Linked DNA regions of Sus scrofa. The protein of the gene in region 2 purifies or fractionates together with the protein of the main gene of each other region. This does not show direct contact. Links are inferred from orthologs where the notes say so. Each region holds a gene or a part of one and is shown on either strand. Other genes may lie near its edges. The genes, in order: INSIG1 and RNF139.

Region 1 (3,905 bases), on a different chromosome or scaffold from region 2:
ACTATGGAATTTCTCCCCTTATGCCCTTGACGGATGGTTTAAAAAAAAAAGTGAGTAAGGTATGAGAAGTTGTGTTTCAGATATGCCTGGAATTCCTTGAAGCTTCAATTGCAAATCAAGCCTAAACTAAAATGGTTCAGTGGTTTTAAAAATCAAGCTTTTGATTCAAAGAAACTATTGTGCCAAATGTGAATAGAAAGAGATGTTTCTCCAAAAGGATTAAGAGTAGAGCCATGAACTTAAAGGGGTTAGAAAAACAACAGTAGCCAGTGTTTCTGAGAACAAAGAGAAAAACCTTCCACTCTCTGCTTCATCACCATAGTGTCCCCGTCATGAGGCATCCTGCCTAGGACACAAGCTCCACTCCAAGCCCACTGCTTCCTTGCAGTTTGAAGTGAGCCTGCTGAGAAGACGCCCCTCTCCAGGGTGCAGGGGACACACCCAGACTCCAGGGGGCAGTATAGGCAGGGTTGCGAACGGGGACCTGTCACTCCGCTGTGCCCCTGCAGACACAGGAGCTTCACCTCTCTGATTCAGTTCTCGCCTCTGTGCAGTGGCGCTGAAGCAGAGCACTGCTGAAAGGACCAAAGGAAGCACAGCCTACGGAACAGGAGGCAGGGCGCTCGTTCCCTGGTGGCCCGTGGGGCCGACGTGGCGCTTTCACCGCTGCAGCCGGGGTTCAGTCCCTGGTCTGGGAACTGAGACCCCACATCAAGTGGCTACGCACCGCGGCCAAAAAAAGAAGAAAAAAGGAGAAAGATCAGAGCCCGCGAGGTCGGCAGTTCACAGAGGGGAGCTACAACGCGAGGCTGTCCGACGGGAGTGTCTGCTCCGTGCTTTACAGCCAGGCGGGCGGAGGCCACAGAGAGCACCCGGCAGGTGTCCATTCATCCATTAATTCGTCCACAGCAAATGCTGTGTGACCGGAAGAACTGAGTGACCTTCTGAGCCATTTTTATAAAACCAAATAACTGAGCAACCAAATAACTGAGCAACTCTACTCCAAACAGCCAGTCCACCTGTCCACAGCAGACTGCTGCCCCGGGGTCACGACTGGGTCTGGCCAGGGTGGCTCCTGTCCAAACTCTAAACAGAGACTTCCTTTTCCTTCATCCCAGAGCCCAGCGGTGGGGGCAAGGCCAGGCTCTGGCCACGTTCACTGGGCTGTTCCAAAAAAGGAAGAGCAGGAGGCCGCTGGGCTGGGGCAGCAGCTCTGCCCACTGGGCCCACGTGACGGTTTGTTTTCAGTTACCGGGCCGGTAGCGTGTTCCCCGGGGCAGCCAATGGCACTCCAGCCCCGCCGCTCACCAGTCCTGCCCGCGGCCAATCCGGGCAGCTGGTTAGGATGACAGCTGCGGGGCTCCCCCAGCACTGGCCTCAGGGCCGGGTCAGGAAGAGGGAAGGACCTGGCCAGCCTGGCACGAGCGGGCGAGAAGCAGCCAGTGGCCTCCCCGCCATCTCCACCACCGGGCCTCCTCCAGCCTCCAAGCCCCCTCCCCAAACACAGTCGCTGGGATGCACAGTCTCCTCTGTGGATGGTTCCATTTTCACACAAATGGTTCCCACAGGCTGAAAACCGCTTTTCACCAGACAGACGTCGTTTGTTTCTACTCACCAGCGGCCGTCCCACAGCAGGGAGGGACCCACCAGGCTGAGGAGAAGATGGTGGCAATAACCTCCTCGGGGAACAGGGTGACATTCCTCTGGACCTGCAGCAGGTTCAGCACCAGGGCCAGCACGACCCCCACCGAGAACAGCACCAGGCTCCTCTGCAGCAGGTGGTGATGCCAGCTGTTGGTGTGGCCGCTGCCACCATGGCTCCCCATGCCAGTGCTCTGAGGCGCATGAGAGGGGTCAGGGCCCTGGGCACCGTGGGCCACCAGCAGAGAGGGGCCTGACACAGAGGAGCTGATCATCTCCCCCACTTTGGCCTCCTGCCCTCTGGCACTGGCCCTGGGGTGGCCTCTGTGGTTCGTGCCCTTAACACAGGGACAGCTCCAGAGGTGGTCGTCCAGTCTGGGCATCAGCCACACCTGACAGGCTTTCCTAGAAGGAAAACGGGGGTGGGGAGAGGGAATCCCGATCAAGTTCACTTCCAAGGGACAGGGCAGGTTCAGAGAGGCCCAGAGACATGGCTCTGGGCACGTTCACTGGCCAGGAAAACCCCCGAGTCTCAGGGAGTCAGCCGCACAGGGTAGCCCACGGGCAAGTACTGCGGGGGAGGGGCTGCAAGGACCCTGTCCACACCCGGGCCCTGGGTGATGCACAGGCTGCAGCCACAGCCAGGTGTTAGCTACACCTGGGTGATCCCGCTGCAGTACCTCCTTGTATGAGCCCTGAAGTTCTGGGCCGTACAGTCCAAAAGTTTTTCAGAATCCGCCCGTCTGCAGGAGGCAGAGGCCAGCCAGCGGCAGGCCGCCCCAGGACAAGTTGCTGGGGTCGTCCCGGACGGAGAACAGCCCTGGCAGAGCCCACCTGATGTCGGGGATGCAGTCCCCCACCCCGCGGCTGGGGCTGGAGTCAGGGTGCGCACCCAGGCCCGAGGGTGGGTGCTGAGGACCCCAATGGAAGGCCGTCTAGAGGGGCGGCTGCCGGGACCTCGACATCCCCGTCCCCAGGGCTCCCCACCGCTCCCGGCCCAGTTTCCCTTGCCGCACCCTCGTACCTGGCCAAGGGCGCCCGCCCGCGGGCTCGCCGGGGGAGGAGGTCGCCGAGGAGAGTCGCGGCCCAGAACGCCTGGAGTTGAGCCCGCGGCCGTCCACGCGCGGCGCAGCTTATAAGGCGGGCGGTGATACCGCTGCTCACGTGACCCCGGCCGGGCCCGCCACCCCGCCCGCGCTCTCGGGGCGTGGCCCATGCGCGCCCCGCCCCGGCCGCGCGCACGGCCGCTCACGGTCTGGTGAGGCGGCCGCGGCCAATCGTGGGCGGGCGGCCCATATGACGTCATCACACGCCACCGCCGCCCCGAGCTCGGCGCACTGGCTCGGGAGCGCGGACGGCCGGCGGCGGACTGGCTGTTCCCGGCCCGGGACGGGGGCTGGAACTGGGCGCGGCCGGACGGGGCGGGGGCGGGGGCCGCACCGACGGCAGGCAGGGGTCGGCCGAGAGCATCCGGGGCCCCGGGTGGGAGGCGCCCCGCGCAGGTTCCCGGCGGACCGCGGAGAGAGGGCGATTTCCAGGGATTGGCAGCCGCGGGCCTGGAGTCCGGCGGCTGAACAGCTAGGTCGCCGGACCCTCACCCAGGCGTGGCGGTTGGCAAGCCTCTCCCCTGCGGCCGCTCCACTTGGTCACTCTGCAGCCGCCTGTGCCCTGAAGATGCTCTGACCTCTGGTCCTTGTCAGCTCTCTCAGTGGTGGCCGCACCTGCTCATGCAAAGCGGGTTCGTGTGCGCAGCGACCAGCAGGTGCTGGCAGGGAGCGAGGGCTCGGAGACGAGAGCTGTGTATGCTGCGTGCAAGGATCTAGGTGTTGTTAAGGGTGCTTTTATGTTTTTCTGCCACCAGCGTGGTTCAGAAAACTTTTCTGACATAAAATACTTACGAAAATGTAAATGATGAAATCGTCATTCATAAAATCGTTTCTTCTCGTTTCGAATTGTCTTTCAGTGGGAAACAAACCATCAGAACCACTTAGAAAAAATAGAACGCTGTTTTATCTTGTTGATGTAATGTATTTATATCCTGTTTGCCCCATGGTCACACCATCTAAATAGCAGGGCAGGCCCTGTGCCACCTGGAAACCCACATTTTGTTGAGCAAGATACTTAAGATGTCCTGGAAAGACAGTAGAGCAAGTGTGCGGCCTTTTCTCTCTGCAGGTGAGAGGAAGTCTGTGCTCTAATAGGGTCAAGAGAGCTCACAGGCTTAGGCGGTGTCAAGTACTGCATTGTGTGGCATCGTACCTCAG
Region 2 (3,905 bases):
CTACACTCCTGGCAAAGTAATAACCCAGCCTCAAACCCCCACTCCCCAACTCTACTACTCCACCATGGCCTCCTCCCTCTTCTCAAAGCAGAAATGGGGGATGCTCCTTCTCCCACCCTTAAGTCCATGTTACTTTTGGCTTTAGTGCCCCCAAACAACACTTGGTTATCCTAAATTTCATAAAGTTTCCTAGAAGTCTTTTAGCTTCCAATGTCTTACTAGCAAGCTTTCTCCTGATGTGGGGTTGAGGAACAGAAACAACCATCTTCTCCACTTTTCTGTCTCCCCATCCCAGAAATCAGCACAGGTCCTGACTGCAATGTCCTCCAATTAATGTGGATAGATGTGGGGGGAGGGGCTGGCAAGGCTATCTGGGCTGGCTCAGCTGGGACCACCTTTCTATAATGAGATAAGTAACTGCCTGTTAATTTATGATCGTGATGAGTGACTTCTGGCGGGAATAAAATGCCTTCCCAACAGGTCCCCATTCTTATTAATTTCATTGTTAACGTTATTTAACTAACCTTACTTTTGCCCAGAATTAAGCAAAATACATAAAACGTGTGAAGTACCAACATTAAAGCTAATGCTTTCTATCTGACGTATAATTGACACACAGCATTAGTCTCAGGTGTACAACACAATGACTCACTATTTGTATACACTGGAAATCACAAAGCTTCATTTCTGCCACACATAATGAGGGCATTACACTTTTTCAGCCTTAAGTAGGAATGGCTGGGATTAAGTACCCGGTAGGGTACCGACAACTCCCGTGCTAAGGAACATCATGTCCATCCACATCTGCTAATATACGATCAGCATATGATCATTACGATACCATTCTGTATCTGGACTGCAGCTGTGCTGAAGAGGAAAATGAATGAGGCCTGATGTCAGAAGACTTAAAGCTAGGCTCTGGCAACCAATTACTTACAGTGTATCAAACGCAAAACACAACCTCTAGGACCCTAAGTTTCCTCATTTGTAAACCACCACCACCCACCCTTCTTTGAGGGATTTTTGTAGTTTGGGTTAGATAACACTAGTGAAAACGCACTGCAAAAGTACCAAACAAAGGCAAAGTGCTGCTATTTACTAAAAGCAAAGCTCACCATTACCACACTTTCTTTTAAAAGGAGGAAAAAACCTGCAACAGATGGCTCCCCATTCAGAAAGGCCTGGTAAGGATCTCACCAGCAGCTCATCCTAGCAACACTTCAAAAGCACTACCCCACTAAAAGCTGACACAAGAATTACCTCATCAACAAAATTCGCCAAGTTTCAATTACTTAAAAAATTCTAAGCATAAACGTTTCTCACTCTGGGAGTGCAAGTGAAGATAGGGAGGGAAGTATAAGATGTTTTTAACATTCCATTCGTACACGACGAAGACAATGATTTTCAGAAGTGTCATCACTTCCTAGCCACGTTTTTATAACCGTTCTCAGTATCTTCCCTATTCGCGGGAAATTTTAGGACTCATTATAAGTACTGCCTGCTTCACGAGGATTTTTGGTAATGGTTTCAAGGTCTGACATTCGAAACCTTGTCTCCTCCGTTTGGATGTCATTTAAATGGCAACATAAGAGTACTCTGCATTTTGGAAACCGGGAAACTGAGGCCCAGGCTTTGGCTCCACGAGCCCAAGGTCACGCACTGCGAGACGGGGCAAAAACAGTTGCTGTTTTTCCAAAGCTGTCGCATAGGACGCGGTAAACCAGTACTCATTTCCCAAGAGAAACAGCAGGCTCAAAGCCGCACGCTCACACATTGATGTTTTCTCCCAGCCCTTAGAGGCAAAAATGAACAGGAGGCTGAGTCGCTGGGAGGACTGCTCCGCTGTCAAGTCTGAGACAAGTGTCATCTCCTCCCCTGGCTTGCAAAGACGCCCCCGGGGGGGGCTGGTGTGTGTACATACACACATACACACACACACACCCTGCGCGCGGCCGCCCGCCCGCTCCCTGCAGCACGTCTCGGCCCAGCGGGCAGTCTCCGGACGCAGGCTACCCAGTCCCCCTTACCAAAGAGCCGGAGGAAGACCTGGAGCCCGAAGCAAAACCGGCTTTGGCTGGAATCGTAGTAGGAGTTGAAGATGGCGTCGATGATGTAAAGGCAGGGCACCCGGAGCGCCACTTCGAGCGCCGCCCAGACCTGCTGATGGGCCATCCGCACCTGCTGCTGCGGGGGCCCCACCGCCGCCATGAGCCGCTGCCACACCGGGGCTGGGCGGGCCCGGCAGGGCCGCGTGGGGCAGGGCCCGGGACGCCGGCTGGGGGCGGAGGCGGGCGACTCCGCCCCGCCCTCCCTCCTCTCGAGTCTTTCTCACGGCCCGCCCCGCCGCCCGCTCGCGTCTCTCGAGCTGGAGCAGGCGGCGGAGGCGGCGGCTGAGGCTGCGGCGGCGGCTTCCGGGAGGCCTCTGGGTGTCGGTGTTTCCGGCCGGCTATCGCCTGGCTCCTCCCCCCTCCACCGCCTCCCCCGCCCGCGGAGCCACCATCTTGACCTCGCCCGCCTGCCTCTGCCGTTGTTGCTGTTGCCAGGCCGGGAGGCTGCGCTCGCGGTTACGCGAGACCGCGGAGCCCGCGCGCCGACGTCGCGTCATAATCCGGCGCTTGGAACGCTCCCCATTCGGTCATCACGCTCGTCGTACCAGACGTCCCTGAGCGTTGCCGCGGTTCCCGCCCACCTCCGCGGCTGCGCCGTCGTCACGGCTTTGGGCGCCACCTGTTGGCGCAGACGCTCTTCCGCAGCCGCGCCCTCTGGCCTCAGAGTGGCCGCGTCACCCACGGCGGTGAAGGCTCAGTGAGGGATTGGGCCGCGGGAGGGAATTATTAGTCGCTCTACTAGAGACCATTAAACGTCCCGTAAACATGATATAGAGCTGCTAGGAAGGAGGAAAGACAAAGGGCGCCGAACGTCAGACCTACCCCACCCCACCCAAAGGCGGGATCCGAGCTGCTGACTCTTCGGGGAAGATGCTGCAAGGCCGTTTGGGGACCTGTTGGAGGCATCGCCGCATGCGCAGTGCTGAGTGGCTGCTGTTTTGGGTTGGGCTGGGTGCGGTAGGCATTACCAAGGAAAGTAGCCCTCGCATCCCTCTGCGCATCAACTTTCCTGTTTCCTACCCGATTGGTTACAACTGCGGACACTTGCTGGCCACATTTTACTAATATCAAGGGCCACTGTAACTTAAGGGCAAGAATTCTGGCCTCTTCGTTTCTAACCTTTGAGGTATGCACGCCCAGGCAGTCCGTTCTTTCTCAGGGCAGAAGAAGCCATTCTTTTTTGTAGGGAATCAGAACATGCCACCCCAAAGTATGCCACTTTGACATGATTATGTTTGAGTTGAAGACAGTTGAGAAACAGAAACAAAAAACTCTCCACCTCAGCACTTAACCGTCCTCCCATTTGCCTAAAAAGCGAACATAAGTTTCCATTTTGTAAAGGTGACTCCCTCTCCTTTACCAAAAGGAAACTTGTAGACTCAGTCACAAGTCTTACCAATCCTTATCTTTATTAGTTTCCCCCACATACTTACCTTACACAAGTTTGCCACCCCTAAAAGCCTAAACTCCTTTTCCTTTGTCTTATCACTTCTCTACAATGCACTGTTCTTTGTTAAGAAGCTTTATAAGCCCCAAATTGTAGCCACCTGAGTTGTCGATCACTTAGTTTCTCCAAGCCTGTATACACCGGAGAAACTTGTTATTCTCCTGTTAATCTCTTTTGTTGGTTTAGTTTTAGGGTCCCAGCAACAAACCTAGGAAGGAAAAGATCTAAATTTGTTGCCTATACATGTAATTAATATAACCTGGCTATCCTTTCTGTTCCTTAACCAGCAGGAGTGTAAGTTAGGTCAGAGTCTTAATTATAAACCAAGACAGATTAAGGGGGATAGGAGT

Evidence for each region.
Region 1: the proteins of RNF139 (region 2) and INSIG1 purify together in Homo sapiens (affinity purification with western blotting, with the first as the bait; 3 studies listed by BioGRID). This does not show direct contact. The link is inferred for Sus scrofa from reciprocal best matches to the Homo sapiens genes RNF139 and INSIG1.

The regions. Positions count from the first base shown.
Region 1 is NC_010460.4:2,896,018-2,899,922, forward strand, and holds the start of INSIG1 (insulin-induced gene 1 protein), read right to left. Parts: upstream 2,742-3,905; 5' UTR 2,666-2,741; intron 2,047-2,665; 5' UTR 2,025-2,046; coding exon 1,616-2,024; intron 1-1,615. UniProt on the Homo sapiens protein: Oxysterol-binding protein that mediates feedback control of cholesterol synthesis by controlling both endoplasmic reticulum to Golgi transport of SCAP and degradation of HMGCR.
Region 2 is NC_010446.5:15,179,900-15,183,804, forward strand, and holds the start of RNF139 (E3 ubiquitin-protein ligase RNF139), read right to left. Parts: upstream 2,622-3,905; 5' UTR 2,209-2,621; coding exon 2,028-2,208; intron 1-2,027. UniProt on the Homo sapiens protein: E3-ubiquitin ligase; acts as a negative regulator of cell proliferation through mechanisms involving G2/M arrest and cell death.